Linked DNA regions of Coturnix japonica. The protein of the gene in region 2 interacts with the protein of the main gene of each other region in a pairwise test. Links are inferred from orthologs where the notes say so. Each region holds a gene or a part of one and is shown on either strand. Other genes may lie near its edges.

Region 1 (4,365 bases), on a different chromosome or scaffold from region 2:
GCTGGTTCATAGCAGCTGGTACAGTTCAGCCACTGAACATGGCCAGCCATAAGAAGGGGACAACTAGGGACCCAAACTCAGTTCCCATCTGAGTTTCTTATTTTCAGGAAGTGCCAATCATCTCTTTGAAAAGTATGGCCAACCTAAGGTACCTCAAATTAAGAGTGAAAAGAATGAACTCTTTTTTGAATATGCAGGCTCTCCATTAGCAGAAAATCCCCCCCAAAAGGCTGAAAAGCATGCTTTCCAGGCACCACGCTACCAAAAGTTGAAATCTGCCCAGGTAATATAAGAAAGTTTCAGAATAACACAATACTCTCCAGCTTTAATTTTAGTTCATGCTCTGCTTGTATTTTATTAAGTTCCTGGAAACAAAGAGAGGCACTTTCCAGGAAACAGAACTAGCAGGTTTAGCACCAGGCTTCAAATCTCTCCAAGTTGAAACTCGTTTGCCATGTTCTTCCCTTCTTCTTCATATATTGGGAAAGTGATGGCGATGAGCTCTTTCTCCAGCATTTCCAGTTGAGTTGTAATGTCTGACACAGTGTTTTTCACGTTATTCAGCTGCAGCTTCAATTTCTTGTACTCTTCCTGGAAGAATTTTTTCTCATCTTGGAGAGCGTGAAGGCTGTCTCTGTCATCAGCAAGACATTTCTCCTTGAGGAACACCTGGAGAATCTGGTATAAGTCATGGAGAGCCTGAAGGATTTCATTATCATCCTCTGCGGTTGGTGCAATCTTGGTGTCATTCTGGGTTGGCGTGGTGCTCTCCTCTTTGGCATCATGCTCCTCCTGGGAGGATGTGCCAGGGCTACCTTCTCCCGCAGCTGTGGTACATTCAGTGACCTTCTGAACTGAGCTGGCGCCTTTGTTCTCTTCTTGGACTATGAAGGTTGGTTGATCTTTCCAAATGCTGGGAACTGTTCTATTCTGCTTATGGAAAAACTCTAAGAAGCTGCTTCTTTCTCTGACCAGCTGGAGAGCCTTGTTGCTTGGACTGACCTGAAAACCTAAATGCCTCTCTGGGAAGAACGAGGACAGCTTATCTTTCTGGAGGCTTTGCTGGATGATGTCACTGTAAACAAGCTGGACACCTTTGTTCTGTGTCTGGAGATATTGCAGAGCCTTATTTTCTTCCCAGAGCATCCTGTTTTCGATACGGAGGACTTGGTTTTCCTCCCAGAGGGCTCTGTTCTCCTCCCAGATGCTCCACTCGTTCTCTGTCTTCTTGTTAAGGAGTCTCCTCTGGGATGCAAATGTTGGCTGGCAGTGCACCTCATTCACCCATTTACCATCAATAAATGTAAATGTCTCATCCCTCAGTTTCATCCGTGGGAAGACACAGTCCATCTCGGGCCTTGTACCCCGTGTGCTCTGGTTTGTCAGGTCAAAAGCAGACATGGTTATCTGTTGGCAAACAGAGAAAGATTGTGAAAAGACTTCTGCAGGAGGCCACTGCAGGAGGCCACTGCCCACTGGCAAGGACTAGATGACACAGAAGCTGGAGATGAAGCTTGATTAGGACTGCAAGAACAGGAGAAAACAGGCACTAGTGGAGAAGGCAAAGCCTTGGTGGCACCACAAAGTTTGATACAAAAACCTGGACTCTCTTTTCATCCCCTTGCATCAGTTTTACAGTCATGGAAGATAAATAAAATGCAGAAAGTCATATGAAATGAGATTGAGATTGAACTGCTTTTTAAAACAAAAGTATTTGTTTCTTTTTACCACAGCATAAAACTGTTGGGTTTTTTTCTGATAAAAAAAAAATGGTAGGCTGACTGCCAGTTTTTATCCTTCTTGCCCCAAAGCCTTCCAGTCACCCTCCTGTCCTATATGGCATCCAGTGCTGCCATATGACTGGTGGGCAGTCATTTTGCCTCTGTATCTGTCCCAAGCACTTGGCAGGGGGTCAAAGCCATGGCCCAGCTCTGCCAGGACACTGAACCCTTTGTCCTGTTTTGCCCCACAACCTTCACCAGCTGCTGCCTCCCTGGGCTCCTCCAAGTTACTTCTGAGACCCACCACCCACAGCTACCTCCTTCTTTGCCTTCCCAAACTTGCTTGAAAGCTCAAAGACATATTGCTACTGTTCAAAGCCCCAAATCTCTTCTTGAAGGAATAATTGCAATATGGGTCTGTTTGCCGTAACACTTGATTTTATTGATATAAGGTCTCTGCTTAACTTTCAGAGCTGCCTTCCGCATTGCCATCTGGTATATCTCACATCAGACTTGTGTTTGCATAATGTCATTCCTCTGCTAAAAGGGATTTCCCACTGTTTGCAACTGCTTGCCAATTTCCGCGTTTATTTTTCCCCCTTACATTGTGTTCAGAGCACAGCGAGCAATTTGTTGCTCCCTGCCTCACACAGACCTGTCCTTTTCCCTCAGAGGGTGCTGATGTCCCTGTCATTATCCCCATGATGGGAAGCTGAATCACAGGGGGAACTGATCCCTAAACCCTGATGAGAAAACAGCCAGCATCACAAGCCAAGACCCACCCTTCACTGTGTTTCATGCGCAGGCATTTAAAGCCACTTATGTTTAAAGTGTTTATATGGCAAGTTTTGAGGATAAACAGCAGTATATAATGTATACAGCATTGAAGGATGTTGTCCTGGGGTCAATTAAACTTGACAGCACCTCTATCAGCTCCTGTGTATTGCAGGGGAGAGGTCAACCCAGGCTTCAGAGAAATTTTCCCACCTTCCTTATTCATATTCCCAAACTAAAAATTCCTTCCACAGGATGGGGAGATGGGTTGGAGGAGCAGGGTTGGGGGAGACCGCATGAAATCAAGCATATATAGGTGTTTTGGCAGTACCAAATTACATACCAGCATGTACTCACCTGCTTGTTGGAGATGATACTCTACCCTCTTCACTGCCCTGCACAGCTGCCAGGTCTCCGCTTGGCTTTTTAGCCTGAAGTTCTGCTCCAAGTTCTGTATGGGGGGGGCATGGTGATGAGATGGGACAATGGAACCCACTGTGATGCGATCACCACGCCCAGAGCCAGCCCCTTCTCCACAAGTCCAGGAGCTCCCCCCTCTCCCCCCTCACAGCCCATTTTGTTTTATTTTTCCCAGCATTGCACATTTGGGTCATTTCTCATGGAAACGACCTTTCCAGTAGCCTAGCTCTCACGTCCTTTCTTGAACCCAGGCTTCCCTCTCTGATGCACATAACTGAGAGCAGTTTAGATGGATTCTCCCTCCATCACGCTCTCCTAAAAGAAATTTTGCTTTTATTCTGAATCTAACACATTAATTCTCTGGCTGAACCAATGCTGATAAGTTCAAAAACCACTTCCTTCTGTGTATGCGCTATGACAGCTGAAGTTATTTTTAAAGGACAACATGGATATGAGTTTTTCTGTAACTATAAGTTAAAGAGTAGATCATCACTGAACCCCATTAAGAAGAAAACAGAACATGCAGGGCATTCATGCATTACAAGTTTAGATATTATTTATAGCAGCTATTCCTGCTTCCATGTCTTTATGTTTCTAATAATCTCATTCTCTCTCTTATTTGCTTAATCTTTTAGATGTGGATTATTTCTTCATCTTTTTTCCTGTCATCAGGGTTTTTGAATAATAAATACAGCAATTAATGTCTATTCCAGTGAAAATTACCAACTTGACATCAATCCCAAAGTGACTGTTATTGCTTTAGGAAGTTAAAGGTATAGTTTGGCTTCAGTGTTCTGCAAAGATAATAAACTTAGGCATACAATTCTCTTCTGTATTTTTTTCCTTGTTTCTATTTCATCTCAGACAACACAATAAATAAGTAAATCAGAAGTTCCCATGACAACTCCCCGGGGTTCATTCTCCTCTGTTCAAGTTCTGGGGTCCTACAAAGAGAAACTGGAAAATATCCCCCTAAGAAGTAGTTGGCCTTCAGTCAGATGGCAGTGCCAGGGTGCTGTCCAGCTGCTACAGCTCTCAGGGGAGGCAGCTGAACTTCTGAATACCTGAGTGTGTGGACCACTGGCACAGACCTTAAATGAAAGTTTTAAGTTCTAAGAGCCGACAGAAAACTGAGCTAACAGAGACAAGGGCACCGTGGATTTATCAGCAGGCAAAGCCTGCTTGGTCCAGAACTCCTAGGAACTAAGTTAGCTGCATACTTTCACTTTTTCTTATGCATTTTCTTATTGTCCTGAATGTTGGATAAAGTTCTTCTGGCAAGTCACTTCTTTGTTGAAAGTTACAACTTCAAACAGTAATATATTTGGATCCAATTTAGCGAATATCATCAGATGTGCATACATGTATGTGGAGACACACACCAGAATTGTAAAGACACAGCTGTTCACGGCAGAACTTTTCAAAGCAACTGCACTGACTTCTGAGCTAT
Region 2 (4,013 bases):
CCTGGGGGTTTTGGGTCGTTGTGCACCGGGGGGGGGGGGGTTGGGAAGGGTCCATGGGGGGAGGGGGGTGGGAGGGGTCCATGGGGGGGGTGGGGGTTGGGAAGGGTCCATGGGGGGGGGTGGGAGGGGTCCATGGGGGGGGTGGGGGTTGGGGAGGGTCCATGGGGGGGGGTGGGGGGGTTGGGAGGCGGTCCGTGGGGGGGGGTGGGGGGGGTTGGGGAGGGTCCGTGGGGGGTGGTGGGGGGTTGGGGAGGGTCCGTGGGGGGGGTGGGAGGGTCCATGGGGGAGGTGGGGGGGTCCATGGGGGGAGGTGGGGGGTCCATGGGGGGGTGGGGTTGGAAGAGGTCAATGGGGGGGCTGGGGAGGGTGGGTTGGGAAGGTCCATGGGGGGGGCTGGGAGGGTCCGGGGGGGAGGGTCCATTGGGGGAGTGGGGGGTTGGGGAGGGTCCTATGGGGGGGGTGGGGTTGGGAAGGGCCCTTGGGGAGGCTGTTGGAGAGGGTCCATGGGGGAGGGGGGGTGGGGAGGGTCCATGGGGGGGGGGTTGGGGAGGGTCCATGGGGGGGGGTTGGGAAGGTCCATGGGGGGGGAGTTGGGGAGGGTCCATAGGGCGGTGGGTAACGGAGGGGGGGGGGGAGGGAATAGCACGCCCCCAAAACCACCCAGGGAAGGGCTGTTGCTATGCACCAGGAGCTCCTCCTGCCTCCCACCCCCCCTTAAAGGCAGAATTGCAGCACACAGCAGCTCCCAAATATCCTTTTATTGAAGCTTTTGAGAACCCCATCCCCGCAGCGCTGTGCCCTGGGGCTGAGCCGCTGCAGGTGCCCAGATAGCACTGAGTTCATGAGCATCAGGGGCACCCAGTGGCTCTGCCCCCGACAGGGAAGCTCCTGAGAGCAGAGTATGTAAGAGAAGAGGAAGAAGAGGAGGATGATGATGATGATGATGATGATGAAGGTGCTTTGTAGCCCAGGCAGCCGAGGGCTGTGGCTGACCCGGGGAGAGCTCACTTCTCTGGCTTCTTAGGCAGCGGCCGTCGGAAAAGGAGGATGTGTGGTTCTGTGGGGATATAGGATATAGAACAGATTCAAGCCAGGCTGTGGGTATGGAGCCCACGTCCCATAGGGCAGCCATATGGGGCTCATAGGGTAACCATAGGGGGCTCATAGGGCAGCCATATGGGGCTCATAGGGTAACCATAGGGGGCTCATAGGGCAGCCATAGGGGGCTCATAGGGCAGCCATATGGGGCTCATAGGGCGGCCATACGGGGGCTCATAGGGCGGCCATACGGGGGCTCACCTGGCTCGTGGATCATGTAGTGCACCCAGCCCTGGCTCTGCTGCACACCCAGGTTCCTCCACTCTGATTCGGACATCAGGTGGGTTTTGGGCACCAGCTTGGCGATGTCTTTGGGCAGCATCACGTGCCTGTGGTCACAGGGGTTGCTCAGCCAGGGGCAGTGACACAGTGCTCCGCCCACAGGCCCTGACCCAATGCTTACCCCCCACCCCCAATCAGGTCCAGGTCCAGGCCCAGGCCCGTTACCCACCCCCACCCCACACCCACCAGCCCAGACCCAGTGCCCAGCCCTCCCCCTTCGGGCCCAAACCCGGTGCCCCCCTCCTCTTCCCTCAGGCCCAAACCCCTGCCCATCCCCCTCCCCCTTCAGTCCTAGGCTCAGACCCGGTGCCCCCCCATCACGCCCAGACCTTGTCCCTGTCCCCCCACACTCCTCCCCCTTCGGGCTCAGACCCAGTGCAGCCCCCTCCCCATTCAGGAGCAAACCTTGTCCCCCTTCCCTCCCTCTTCAGGTCCAGACTCAGACCCGATGCCCCCCCCCCACGATCAAGCCTAGGCCCAAACCCGGAGCCCCCCCAGCCCGCATCAGGCCTAGGCCATTACCCCCAACCCCTTCAGGCCCAAACCCTATCTCCCCCCGTCAGACCCAAACCCGGTGCCCCCATCAGGCCCAAACCCGGAGCTCCCCTCCCTTCTTTCCCTCCCCCCCTCGGCTTAGACCCGGCGCCTCCCCTCCCCCTTCAGGTCTAGACCCAGTGCCCCCCCCCCCCCCCCCACATCAGGCCCAGGCCAAAACCTATTCCCCCCCCCCCACCATCAGGCCCCAGACCCGGAACCCCCCCCTCCCTCCCCTCCCTCCCCTTGCCCCCCCCTCCTTCAGGCCTAGACCTAGTGCCCCCCACCCCACTCAGGCCCAAACCCGGTGCCCCCCCATCAGGCCCAGGCCCATTACCCCCCCCCCACCTCAGGCCTAGGCCCAAACCCGGTGCCCCCCCCCCCATCAGGCCTAGACCCGGAGCCCCCCCTCCCTCTTCAGGCCTAGACCCAGCTCCCCCCCCCCCCCCCTCAGGCCTAGGCCCATTCCCCCCCCCCCCCTCAGGCCTAGGCCCAAACCCGGTGCCCCCCCCACCCAAACCCCCCCCCCCATCAAACAACAACCCCATTCCCCCCCCCCATCATCCTCACCGGTACTCGTATTGCTCGTCAAAGTACTTGTCGGAGTAGTAGATCTCCTTGTGAGCCATTGCCGCCCGTTCCCGGTCCGCCCCTTTCCCGGCAGCCCCCACCTCGCCCCCTCTCCTCAACCCCACGGCGGCCGTTGCTTCCCCCCTCCCCCACCTCCACTTCCGGTTCCCCTCAACGGTGCTTTCAAACGCCGCCGCCCCGCGCTCTCATTGGTCAGCTCCCAGAAGGCGGGCTTAACGATTCGCGCGCTGATTGGTTGATTGCTCTAAGAGACACGCCCTTTCACCAACCCCCCCCCATTCTCCTTTAGGGTTCTTGCGTCACGTGACGGGGGGCGTGGACCGGAAGTGAGTGGCGGCGTGGCGGGGGGAGGGGCGCTCGGTGCTGGGAGCTGAGGCCGCCGGGACCGGAGGAGACCGGCGTGAGACCCATGGTGCCCCGGTGAGCATGTGGGTCATCTTAGGTCGGGTGGGCCTCATATGGGGCTGTAATGAGGCCTGTAGGGCCTGTGGGAGCGGTCCGGGCCTTTAGGGGGTTCCCGGTGGTTCCGTAGGCCCCGGTTTGTGGGGGTAGGCCGCAACTTGAGGTCGTGTGGAGCTTCCGGTGTTGTTGGGTTGAACCCGAACATGGCGGGGGTTATGTGTTATGAGATGGGAAACGGCGCTTCCGGGATGTCCGGTCCCGGTATTACCGGGTGTATTACCGGGTATTACCGGGTATTACCGGGTATTACCGGGTATATTAACGGGTATTAACGGGTCACAGCGTTGCCGGTGCTTGTGGGGGAGCCGCTGATCGCCTCTATGCTGTTCGGGAGTCCCGGAGCTCCCAGTGTTGTTATAGGTGTGTGTGTCACCGCTGCCGGTAACCGGGGCTATTAGTAATGCTAATAGTAATTGGGGAGCTCATAACGGAGATGGACCGGCACCGAGTGGGGTAAAGAACCGGTTACCGTGGGTAAACACCGGCTTTGAGGCTTCAATGGATGTCTGTCAGATGGATGTCTGTCCGTCATGGGCTGTTCCTGGGTCTCTATGTCAATGGGTCCCATGGATCTCTATGTCAATGGATCTCCATGTCAATGGGTCCCAATGGATCTCCATGTCAATGGGTCCCATGGATCTCTATGTCAATAGATCCCATGGATCTCTATGTCAATGGATCCCATGGATCTCTGTGTCAATGGGTCACATGGATCTCTATGTGAATGGGTGTCCCATGGATCTCTATGTCAATGGGTCCCATGGATCTCCATGTCAATGGGTGTCCCATGGATCTCCGTGTCAATGGGTCCCATGGATCTCCGTGTCAATGGGTGCCATGGATCTCTATGTCAATGGGTGCCATGGATCTCTATGTCAGTGGGGTCCCATGGATCTCCATGTCAATGGGTGTCCCATGGATCTCCATGTCAATGGGTGCCATGGATCTCCGTGTCAATGGGTCCCATGGATCTCTGTGTCAATGGGTCCCATGGATCTCTGTGTCAATGGGTCCCCATGGATCTCCATGTCAGTGGGTCCCAATGG
Region 3 (3,750 bases), on a different chromosome or scaffold from region 2:
TTCCTCTGATGAGGCTGTTACCCCTGGTCCCACTAGAAGAGAGAATTAAGCAGGTCTATTTTTGACGAATGAGCTGAGCAAATGGTAATTAGTAGAAACATGGTCTATAAAAAGCAGGTTTTTTTCTGCTACTTATATACTCTCTCTGATTTCTCATACTTGTTAGTGGGGGAAAAAAATGCAGCATCAGTGCTACTCAATCAAAACCCCCAGTTTTCCTGTGCCATTTCCTGAAAGAACATGTGTATACTTAACTCCTGTATTCACAGAAGATTAGTAGAAGCATGAATACAAACAGAGCTGAAAATACAGTAACAGTTATTTTACAACACAACTTCAAAGTAAAAGCACAGAAAGTAAGGAGAGCACTAAGGAGGCAGTAGGATGAGTGCTTTAAACAAAAATCTAGCAGCTTCTGACAGTCAACTCATTTTTCAGGGTGTTGATTAAAGCTTTACTGTTTACATTATCTCCAAAGTGAGATGCGCCGTGTGTGCTAGACTGGTGAACACCCAACCGTCTGTTATCACATTACACACGTTTAAAGAAATAAAGCAGGAAACAGTTACATCTACAGTACTGCACCATCTCACTAATACATAAAAATTTTCTGTCTTTTTATAATATTTGTACAACACAGTGGACATTTATTGACTGCTTCAGCACATTCCTTACAAGCAACCAGGTGACCACAGGGAATGAGGACTACTGATATGTCTTTAGCCATACAGATTTTACAGAGCTTTTCTTCCTGCAGGCGTCTTAACTTCTCTTCGATACTGAGATCTAAGAAGAATAAACACACAGAAAGTAGTTAGTATGTTTTCATAGTATCTCATCTCATTTTTTCCCCCCTCCACAGAAAGACAGAGGATTTCCTTTCCATGTCATTTAGAAGTTACACCTTTAAAAAAGGCAAAAAAACCCACAACCCACAGACAAAACCACACAAGACGGGAAACCAAACTAAAATGAAATCTTCAACGTCTGTTTTTTCCCCCCACCTCCCAGACCAGTGCAGGGAATTCAGCCATCTCTGTTGGTAAGACCTTGAAATATCTGTGGAATCTAAGATACACATACTGCAACCAGGAGCCATTTGTTTTTTTAGAGACTTCCCACAGACAGCTTTCTCAAAACCTACACAGAAGGTGGAAGAAAGGATAATCAATCCTGGTTAAGTAATTTGGATTTACTTTTCCCCAGCAATTTTCCTCAGGCTAAAGAATGAGGATATCACTTCCCTCCGTCCTTCTGTTTATGAAAATGCCTATACTTCAAAAGCTTAAAAAACTGTCATACAGAAACAATTTGTTTTGCATTGTAGATTAGCTCTGCAATTTCTAGTAAGCCTCATTTGAAAATACACACTACAAAAGCCTTCTGCAGCATGGGGAAAGTTCCCTGCAGTCAGTCACAAAAATAATGCCCATCTTCATTGCAAGTTCTTTCTCTGCATAATATCCATGAAAAATGTTATTAAAAGGGACGGGCTAGTGAGCTCTCTGTCTATCATGCCAACCAGATGGGCTTTTCTCTCCCTCTGAATTCATCCATATGGTTGTCTTTAAACTACAAATAAGCTCTTGAGTGGGACAACTTGTTTCTGGTCAATCAGCAGGGCATACCACAATGGCTTTTCTGAGAATGACTTGTATGCCCAAACATAGTTGCAACGTAAATAATTAAAAAGGAATGTTGTTCAGTAGCAACTGGAGCAGTTCCTTATTGGCCAGGAAGGAGAATGCTTCTATTCAGTGCTGTTAGTAATGGCACCAATTTTACACTTGAAACATTTTAGCAGTGTAGTATTAAATTTTTTGTACACTGAATATTTGACAATAAATTGTGTTTACTTCCCCATATCTACAATTATCCTTGCCATTGTCACAGTAACACTGGCTAAAAAGCTAACCTCAGAGGGTACTGAACTATTATTTCAATATGTTTTGTGGTATTAATACTAAATATATTTTGCACGTGACATTCTACTAACCTCAAATATTTTTTAACACCCCCTTGCTCCACTTCTTTGATGCCCAAAAATAAGATATAAAACTTTAAGCTCCAATATTGTAACTTCATATTAAGCAATACTTGAGTCAGAGGGCAGAATGAATAGTTAATGATAGGATATACTTCATAGACAAACAAGTTATTGTGAAAGTACACATGTAGGTTTTACAGTTTACTAAGCTCACCTTGCTCAAGCGGGCTTTCCTTTGGTGGTTCTCCCTTTATATTTTCTTTCTGAGCACTTATTAAGTCTGCTACCAGATCCTCAACAGACGTATAGCTTTCTCCAGACACGTGCAACTTCTTTTCCATAGTGCTCCTAATCTCAGACAAACTGAAACCCATGTGTACAGCGTTCTGTACCAACTGATTCTGTAAGAGGTCATCTAAAACAATAAAGGAAAAGAAAAGAACACCACAATTTAACATACATATACATATATATATATACATATATATATATTTAACATAATATCTGATTGTATTCATTATAGTTAAAACACCTTTGCAGATATTTAGCAAAAAGAACTGCATTTCTGATTTGAGAGTTATGCTGCTTTTAAGTACTGCATTGGAAAACTCGAGAGCTTTTCAGTCCTTGTTTTCCCAGACTCTCTTCATCTGCTTATAGTATGGAAATCCTCCTAGGCTTGCGATTCAAATCAACTACTTCAACATTTTCAACACAATTCCTTAAATCACATGTCCTACATAATTTGTGAAACAAAGTCCAAAGCTGAACATTAACTGAAATCATCATAAATCCCAAGGAACAGTAAATACTAAAGTATTTGCTAACTTTACATTAGTTGTAATTCAGTTCAGAAAAGAAAAACAACCCATCCATCTGATAATAGAAATCAATACAACAATATGAATTTATGAAATCGAAACACAAGCGCAATCACTTCAGAATTTCTGAAGTCAGTCTTCCCAGGATAACACACACCACTCATTTAGGACACAACTGCTCTTCAGTCTATGGGACTTCCTCCTCTCTCTTTTTCAATGTAATTGCTTGAATAGATTTTCCAGCAGTGTGTCCTATGTATTTGAAAAGCTTTTAAAATAGATCTTGTGTAAGCACTCTTATCAGCAAGAGCTTTCATTCCACATCGCGCTGCAGCATGACTGCCTGCCTATTGTTTCTTTTACCATCTCAGCGTTCTCATATTCATAAGAAACATTATTTTACCATAACACATTCCTCCACATAAGTCATTTAAGCTTCCTCGGCTTCCTAGATTCCTTGTCTTTTTGCAATGTAAGTCTTCCCACCTCATGAAAATCAACAACAATCACTTTGTTTCAGTATTCTGCAGTGTTCATCATGTAACTTCTCTAATTCAATGCAGTATTTATCCACTGATGATTAGAGTTATCACACGAGAAACAAAATTCATTGTGCAATTTAGAAGGAACAAAGCAGTAAAAGAATATCACCCAACAATTTGCCTGCCATTTTTGAAAAATATAATAGAGTTAACTTAGAAATTTGGTTTTATTATTATTATTGTTATTTTTACTATATACCTTCAGGAAGTATTGAAACTTCAGCAGCTTCTATCTAAAAAATAAATAGAAAGATGAAAAAAATTACAATTCTGGAATGAGTACGAGGAGACCTATACAGTTATAAGACACAAAATAGCTATTTGACCTCAGTTATTTTATTGAGTAAAACTACTATAGTTAGAGCAGATTTTCTCTGCTCTAAACATTGGCAAAGGGATT
Region 4 (3,750 bases), on a different chromosome or scaffold from region 2:
GGAGAAACACAATTGTGTTTTCTTTGGGAGTGGGCAGGATGGATGGGAACATGGAGGTCTCGCTGATGCCCTGATGCTGGGACAGTCACTAGAAGGGCAAGGAGGGTAAAGTGACCCCTTCCATGTTGTTCCTTCTTGGGCTGCAGCCTGCGGCCCTTGGACCTGGAGTTCATGAAACATCTCAGCAAGGTAGTGAACATCATCCCGGTTATTGCCAAGGCTGACACCATGACCTTGGAGGAGAAGACTGAATTCAAACAAAGAGTGAGTATCTCTCCTTCTGCATGGGATCCCTCCCTTCCCTGGCTGGGAGATTGGAGAAATGAGCCATATCCTTTCTGCTGGGAATGCAATTCAGTCCACAGGGCAGTTAGAGGCCAGCATTGGATTGGTGGGTAAGTCCTGGCACTGCCCTGAAGATGCAGCTGTCCATGGCTCTGAGATCACATCTAATAGAGGGGGAAGAACAGCAGGCATCCCTGTGACATTCCATGATATGTTCGGTCATGGGAATTACAGAGCCAAATAAGTAGATTGGGATGGGGAAGAAAGACTTGTTACTGTTATTGTGTGTCCTCACTTTGCTTCACACCTCAATGGGGACAGTCCTTCTAGCCTTTCCCCACTGGAAGGATGTCCCAGATATGTCTGCCCAACCATCCTGCCTGCCTTCCCTTCAGGTTTATGTTGCTTTGTGCTCCAAAATTTATCTCTGTCCAGGTGCGCAAAGAACTAGAAGTGAATGGGATCGAGTTTTACCCTCAGAAAGAATTTGATGAGGACTTGGAGGATAAAACAGAAAACGACAAAATCAGGGTAGGAAACATTTTATTGTGGGAGGGGAAGGGTGGTTGAGGGTTGGTCAGATTTAATGAGTAAAACAGACATGTGTCACTAGGTTTTAAGTGCTTCATGCTCTCTGAGCAAAAGGTGCAGTGGACACAAGAGAATGCCATTCATCCTTCCTAGTTTAATTTGTCCCTGTCATCTCCAGAGGGTGCTAGGAAGGCTGAGTGAGGATGGACTGTACTTCACCTCCTCTTGCTGAATGTTGTTTGGCCTCTGCTAAGGACAAAAGGGCCAAGTTCATCCCTGTCCCAAACAATCATCTCCTGAGCTCAGGCCAAACTCTACCTGAAAAGCAGTCCAGAGCATTGTCCTGCCAATTCCTTTGAGAAGGGATGTCTCATTCTTTCTACCTCAGAGAGGTATAAACCATCCAATTTCCAACTTGTGTTTGTTCATGGTCAGGTTGTACCCAGGATTATATGTGTCCTTGTGCCAACACTGACCTGAACATTTCTCCTACCTACTGGTCCCATCAACTAGAGATCAGTCTTATCCTGTGCTGGCCTTATTCTGGTCAGCTAAATGAGACAAGCTCCTTTGGCTGAGCTTCCCATTTTCCTCTATTCCATTATTACTTTATTATGTGCCTGTTCTAGTTTGATTTGATTTTCTGGCACTGGTGTGGGTACCCAATACTCCTGTCTTTTCTGAGGTCTGAACTGCTAAGCCCTTGGACCACATGTGCTCTCTGAGCAATCACATCACACTGGTGACGCATGGTCATCCTGTGACTGACTGGCACATGGGATCCTTCCCCTCCTTCAGTCATTTCTTGTGCACAAACTCAAAAGTCATAGCAGAACTTCTTGGTGTTGTTCCCTAAAAGCTGCTCTCCGTACCTCAGACTTACATAGATCTTTCTGGATAATAACCCAGTCTGCCTCTGTACAGACAACTCCTCCTGGCTTTGTGACACTTCTGCTTTTAGTTAGCCCACTCTTTAATTTTAGGGCTTAACTATTCACAGAAATATTGTCTTCTGTGGTAATTGCCAGGAAACTCTAGCAGTAACTAACTGCCTGGCAGCCTGACACTTGCTCTTTCAAGCTCCCTAGCTGCCATAGCCCCAGCAGAGATTCCCACCTCCCCCGGATTCATTAATCATTTCCCATTTGGCAACACATCACACTCTCTGGGGGAGACCAGATGGGTTTTGCTTCTCCTCCAAACTGCTACTGTTTGTGAGGAAGGCACCACAATTTGTTCTGTGCTTCAGCCTAATTGCCCTGGGTTTGGCAGTCTCACATGTAAGAAATAAACAAAATAATAGAGTAAATAATAATAAAGAACAAAATATCCCATTCCTGTGGTAATTGCAATCCCTTCCTAGGGAAGTCTACAAACCAGGATAAATCTATGAATAACCAGACAGCCTTATGGATAGTAGTAACTCATGCACCCTGTTCTCTGGAAGCATGAATTTTCTCCCTGTGTGTAAAGCTACCTTGATCCACAATAGTCTCACCTACTGTCCCACCTCCCAGGGTCTTCTGGCCTTCCTCAGTGCAACCATTTCAGTAACTGATCTTTGAATGTTCTGTTGAGGGGATTATTGTGAAATTTTCTAGCAAAAAACTGCAAATTTGATGAGAAATACTCTCAGCAAACTATTCCTGTGAGGAGCCCCAGGATGACACTCACCTGGTATGTCAAAGCGCTTCCTCTCTGGTCACCTTGCCCTTCAGAAATGCTGGAGGTGTGTGCAGAAAAGCTTTACTCCCTTCTCTGGAGTTTTTGTCATTGATGTAAGGTACACACCAAGTCCAGGGGGTGCAAGGACACTGGTGAAACAAGAGCCCAAAATGCTATTGGTAGCAACGATGAGTGAAGTTTTGCTCTGCAGAATCTCCTCCCTTGCAGAAGGCTTTGCATTTGGTGAGTTGCAAGGAGGAGAGGTGGCTAAGGAACAGTGATGGTGCTGCTCTCTGGAACAGGTTTGATAGGTCTCTCCACCTGTCTTTCCCTAGCAGGAAAGCATGCCCTTCGCAGTAGTGGGCAGTGACAAGGAGTACCAAGTGAATGGCAAAAGAGTCCTGGGCAGGAAAACACCTTGGGGAATCATTGAAGGTAAGGGAATTCTTGCTTTTGGGAGATGATGACAGGGTCCTGATAACATGTCCCATTGCTACTTTCCCATGCCTTTGCCTTTGTGGGTTTTTTGGAGTTTTTGTATTAGTTTGTTTTGTTTTGTTTTGTTTTGTTTTGTTTGAAGCCAAGCAAGAACTCTCAAATAGCTCTGCTTGGAGAGAGCTGCCATTGTCAGTGCGGTACTACTATTGCTAACTAGCAGAACCATTCTCAACACCATGGGGTGTGTGAAGCTGAGCTCCTTGGTTTTCCAATGAAAATCCACCTGTGACCACTCAGCATATCTGCTCAATGCCTGAGAGCTTATCTGCTGTTCACACAACTGTCCATTCTTTCTGAAGCATGCCACCTGAAACATGCATGTCCCATAGCAATGACCATCCCATGCTCTGTAACGACCAGCAGGTTGCTGAAAAACCACACATAACATTTCCTTGCTTTCTTTTCAGTGGAAAACCTCACTCACTGTGAATTTGCCCTGCTTCGAGATTTTGTCATTAGGTAAGGCCGCAGTCATTCCCATGATTCTCATCTTTTGATGAAAAGGGAATCTTCCTGAGACCCTCTTCAATTGCAATAGCCCTTATGGGAGGGAATACAAAGCACTTCTTCAGGCAGTAAAAGCTTAAGTGGGGTAGTGTTGGACTGAGTTTAGGAGTACGTACTCTAGTGCCTCTCTTATCTGCTATGTCAAGTAGGTGCTGGCTTTCATGTATGATCCGGACACATCAAGAAACACAGGGTAATAGCACCCTTGTTTAATCCTATTGTGTTAGATTCCAACAACTTCTAGTTGTTGCTGACATAGGTTTG
Region 5 (4,397 bases), on a different chromosome or scaffold from region 2:
AGACATAAATGAGAAGTAGACGATTGTTTAATTAGCTGGAATTGGGAGTAGGGCTGGAAAACACAGACCTAGGCTTGAGCTCATGCAAATCTCTACTACCCCAGCATGACTTCGGTGGGTGAACACAAGTGAAATATTCTGCATTGACAAAACCACTCTAGGCTATACCATGGACCCTTCTGGTGCCCAAAATATCCACACATCCTTTGCCACCTGGCCTTCCAGACAGAGCAATCTGTTCTTTTTCCTCCTGCCAGGCAGTGGGAAACGTGTCTGAATGTTTGCTCTCTGAACAGATTGAATTATGTAGGAGAGCCCTTCCTGGAGGATGATTTGTGTTTGGCATTTTGCAAGAGAGTCACATTAATGTGAAGGTAAAAGGTGATGTTCTTGATCAGAAAGATCTGGGCTAAGCCCACCTGATTGCTTGGAAAAGCCCAAGCTATAACCCAGCAGGGATTGGGATGAGCAGACTTCTCCCTCCATTTGATTCCTTTAAATGTCACAACTCTGAATTATACAGAAGCCAAATAAAAGTAGCACTTAAAGCACTTAAAGAAAGAAAAACGGAGGCTCTGTGCCCATCTGATAAATCCCTCTGTGTCTACGAGAGCACAAACTCAGCCCAAATGGTGGGATAAAGGGAAAGAGGCGCACACCTATAGGGAGGCATAGCAAAGCAATGGAGCAGGTCGCAAGCAGATTACAGAAACACAGCACATGTGGCTGTATAAATTACCCCTAAAAACACACAAACAGTTGCAGTAACCCCAGTGCAGCCCTGCAGTGATATTTGGGGTGTTCCCAGGTGCCAACCCTCTGTGTCAGAGGGATGGAGAGCAGATTCCCTGCTAACACCCATGCAGCAGCAGCGGCAGCTCCGGGGTCTGCGAATCTGCTTTGTGTTAAGAAGAACCATAAAACTTTCAGCAAAAGATGAAAAACACGTCTCACATTGGCACAAAGGCAGATTTCCTTGTAGGAAGGAGTGGCATAAAGTAGGATAGAGAAAGAATAACTGCCACCAGCAGTAACCATCAGCAAATACAAGTGTTACCGAGCTAAAAGAACAATAATCCCTCCAAAACTTTGCACGTGCACAAAAGTCACCTAAAACAAAACGTTACAACCAGGCCTTAAATCAGTAAATAATCAGTGAAGTGCTTTCTTACTTTTATTTCCCACTTCGCTTCTTGGCTTCAGGAATCTGCTGAATTCCGTATGAAGGGCTTTTTCCAACCTCAAAACTCGGGGAATTTTGTTAACAGTGCAATAAAAATAACTTCATAGTGTCACAGGGAAACATTAAAGCCCTTTTTTGTGCACTGCTCTTCCCTCCCCCCTACCCCTTTTTTTCTTTTTTGGGGGGGAAGAAAAAAATACAGACATTGTTTCTTTAAAAGTCTCCATCTGCAAATCCCATTAGATGTGCATATAAGGTTTCGGATGATTAATAGGTGCTGCTTTGCTTTGGTTGGAGGGAGCGGGTGTGTGTACGTTAACCCCTCCCTCCCCTCTCTCACATTTCACTTCACAAAGTTGTCACTCTCTCCCCAACATAGTATTTAAAAAGTGTTTCCCTCATGTCCAGCACTTCACAAGGACTCCAGCATCAGCTTTGGGACTCTGTTTGGGGCGATCGCCTCCTCCATCCATTTGGGACAATGAACACCTCAAGAAGAGTTTCCAAACTAACAAACCTCCAACCTCACAAACCCCCCAGCCAAAGTGTCGTTTAGGGAGGAAATCTGGGCTGTCAAATCTGGAAACATTTCCCCTCCTCTCCTCTCCTGCTTGAGGAACCTGAGTGACGAGCGTGGGACGAGGATGAACCCCACCGGAGGCAGCTGCATGCGCAGCCCCCAGTCCCCAGCCCCACTCTGGGGGTGCCTGCGGGGTGCCGACGTCCCCACAGCCCCAGGGTTGGGTCACTGCCCCCCAGCCCCTTTCTCCTTCCACCCCAAGGTGGATTTTGCTGCTTATTCTGAATTCTCAGCCTCCTGCTTGCTGAGCTCTGCCCACTGCGTCCCACCTGAGGAGCAGCCCCCAGCTTTCCGTCCTCACTCTGAGTGGCAGCAAGCAACAACAGAGGCCAGGAGACTGCTGAGCCCAGGGCTGGTGTTGGCCTCTGGGGACACAGAGAGCCCCAACGTCGTGAGCACAGCAGCGGGTGTAAGTGAAGATTACGAGGTGCCAGTAAACAGCACGATGGAGACAGAGAGAAAAGGATCCAAAAGGAAAAAGGAGCACTCAGGTAGGTGGCGTGGAAGTGGGGGTGTGGGGTGGGATGGGGAGAATATCTCATGGAGTAAAGCTGATGGAGGAAATATTTTGTGATTCTTGACTAGGGAAAACTATGCAATATCTCAATGGAAATGAAGTTGCTTGTCCCTTGATGACCTTTGGTGTTTGAGTTTTGCTCCTTATTGGCTGAACCCAACCCTTTAGGCAGCAGCTCAGTGCCAACTCAGTGCCATGCTGCGCTCAGAGCCCTAGGATGGCAGATCCATCCCACTGCTCTGCTGCAGTCCAAGGGTGATAGAATGGGGATCAAAGGGCTAAGGTCCCATCAGCTGCCCGTGCTAGCTGGGAATGCCACTCTGGGGTTTTGAACTGCCCACCAGTAGAATGCCCAGCAACATGGGAAACAATCAGTTTTCATTGTGCCATCCTTGCCAACAAAGCACCTTCTTCCTGAAGCATTCAGGAATTACAGACATAAGACATCTGGTTTGTTACTATTTCAGTTCTCCCGATATGTGAAATATGCAGAACATTGCTTTCTCCTAAGGAAGCTGTTAAGATTCAGATGCTTCCATGCAGACATTTTCTACAGTATTCATTTGCAAACCACAGAGTATTGAGAAGCAGAGGGTATTTTCCAGCATCCCCATTTTATGGTTTCAGAGCCAAGACATGGAAATGTTTCTAAGATGTAGAAAAGATCAAAATGCACTTAAATCCTCAAAACTTTCTTTAAAGAACCAATAGATTCAGAGCAGCTACAGAACGGTTTCACTGTGTGATAGTAATAGGAGTATCTGCAGTAAGACCTCACGTGTGAGCACACACATCCCCTTCTCTTCCTCTACCAGTGTTCATTATTTAGATGCCATTTTCAGCCCTGGTGTCCCAGGCACAGCAGTGACCTGAAGATGTCAGTTGGCTTTGGGGGAGCTTTCACAGCTGCCCCTGTGCCTGCCACCCTCTATTCTATGCTGTACAATTTAGCAAAGCATTTATAGAAACCCCTTTGCAATTACAGCATTAAAGAGGCTGAAAGGTGTTGTAATGACTTTGGGCTTCATACATCTTTCATTTACTACCAAGGAAAGACCTAACAACACCACTCAAGCAGCAAGGAAATTCCAAGCCCTAACCCTAAACTAAATTAGCCTTTAAAAGCATAAGATAAGCACTGAAAGTTCTGGGATGCCCACTGGGTGGAGGTTGAGTCTAAAGAAACGCCTCCCTCTGATTTCACACGTTGAATGTTGTTGAGAATGGCCAACTGCAGACAGGCAGTTTGGATACCCCAACTTTAGCTGATGATTAAGGCATGAGCTGAAGGATAAGACAGCAAGAAATAGGCATTGCTGTAATGATGTGTAGTAACATAGTGATTCTGACAACTTTGCTAAGTCATGCCTTTGGGTAAAGAGGGTGCTTCATGCTTTCAGGTCCCATTAACAGCCACAATGGCATAGAAAGCAGAACATAAGGGCAGGTAGAAACTGAAAACCTGAGCAAGAAAAGTGTAGGGAAGTCCCTCAGCAATTTAAAGTGATCTGGGGGCAGAGCTCCATCTGTCACCACCCCGTGTGCTCCACTCCATGAGGTGCCCACTGAAGTTACTTGTGGTTATTACTTTATCGCTGGCTGCCAAATGAATCAGCTCCCCATGAAGTCACTTCACTTGGCCAACGTTCCCAAGAGCTTTCAGGATTTTATGCCCCGTGTGACAGCAAAATCCATCTTACTACTTGATTTGCAATAAATCTGCCCTCAAACTCTTTACTAGGGGGAGAAAGCAACGTTATGCAGATACTTTGGATTTTTATTATGCCTTCTGCTGAGGGAAAAACTGCACTGACAGTGGTTTGCAGAATAACAAGCACCAGGTGCCTCCACCAGGGCTGTGGATCACCACAATGACCAAACAACCTGTGTTACCATTGGTGACCCCCATGCTTGAGCTTAAGCTGCTCTGAGGGATCGGAGAACCCCCTGAAATGCCCAAATCCTGCATTGTGTGGTCCTTTCACCTTCCCCAAAGCAGTTTGCCAGCTAAGCCTCTCTGCCATACATCTCCTTTCAACACCAAGTGGGGCACTGCCTGCTCTGTTCCCAGAGGCTATTTCAGATGATTCACATTGTTTGGAGATGAAGACCAGTGA

Evidence for each region.
Region 1: the proteins of cyclin-dependent kinases regulatory subunit 1 (region 2) and CBY2 interact in binary tests that used the Homo sapiens proteins (3 or more experiments, as listed by UniProt). The two-hybrid records come from large-scale screens. The link is inferred for Coturnix japonica from reciprocal best matches to the Homo sapiens genes CKS1B and CBY2.
Region 3: the proteins of cyclin-dependent kinases regulatory subunit 1 (region 2) and XIAP interact in a two-hybrid assay, tested with the Homo sapiens proteins (3 studies listed by BioGRID and IntAct). The two-hybrid records come from large-scale screens. The link is inferred for Coturnix japonica from reciprocal best matches to the Homo sapiens genes CKS1B and XIAP.
Region 4: the proteins of cyclin-dependent kinases regulatory subunit 1 (region 2) and SEPTIN3 interact in binary tests that used the Homo sapiens proteins (3 or more experiments, as listed by UniProt). The two-hybrid records come from large-scale screens. The link is inferred for Coturnix japonica from reciprocal best matches to the Homo sapiens genes CKS1B and SEPTIN3.
Region 5: the proteins of cyclin-dependent kinases regulatory subunit 1 (region 2) and MEOX1 interact in binary tests that used the Homo sapiens proteins (3 or more experiments, as listed by UniProt). The two-hybrid records come from large-scale screens. The link is inferred for Coturnix japonica from reciprocal best matches to the Homo sapiens genes CKS1B and MEOX1.

Annotation. Positions count from the first base shown.
Region 1 is NC_029516.1:150,251,676-150,256,040, reverse strand, and holds CBY2 (spermatid-associated protein), read right to left. Parts: upstream 2,953-4,365; 5' UTR 2,853-2,952; intron 1,408-2,852; 5' UTR 1,402-1,407; coding exon 424-1,401; 3' UTR 325-423; downstream 1-324.
Region 2 is NC_029540.1:1,427,731-1,431,743, forward strand, and holds cyclin-dependent kinases regulatory subunit 1, read right to left. Parts: upstream 2,606-4,013; 5' UTR 2,544-2,605; coding exon 2,485-2,543; intron 1,428-2,484; coding exon 1,300-1,427; intron 1,058-1,299; coding exon 1,005-1,057; 3' UTR 744-1,004; downstream 1-743.
Region 3 is NC_029519.1:14,628,294-14,632,043, forward strand, and holds part of XIAP (E3 ubiquitin-protein ligase XIAP), read right to left. Parts: intron 3,584-3,750; coding exon 3,550-3,583; intron 2,403-3,549; coding exon 2,202-2,402; intron 787-2,201; coding exon 593-786; 3' UTR 1-592.
Region 4 is NC_029516.1:45,098,896-45,102,645, reverse strand, and holds part of SEPTIN3 (neuronal-specific septin-3), read left to right. Parts: intron 1-146; coding exon 147-264; intron 265-720; coding exon 721-816; intron 817-2,816; coding exon 2,817-2,916; intron 2,917-3,386; coding exon 3,387-3,438; intron 3,439-3,750. UniProt on the Homo sapiens protein: Filament-forming cytoskeletal GTPase. May play a role in cytokinesis.
Region 5 is NC_029542.1:2,906,836-2,911,232, forward strand, and holds the start of MEOX1 (homeobox protein MOX-1), read left to right. Parts: upstream 1-1,564; 5' UTR 1,565-1,827; coding exon 1,828-2,254; intron 2,255-4,397. UniProt on the Homo sapiens protein: Mesodermal transcription factor that plays a key role in somitogenesis and is specifically required for sclerotome development. Required for maintenance of the sclerotome polarity and formation of the cranio-cervical joints.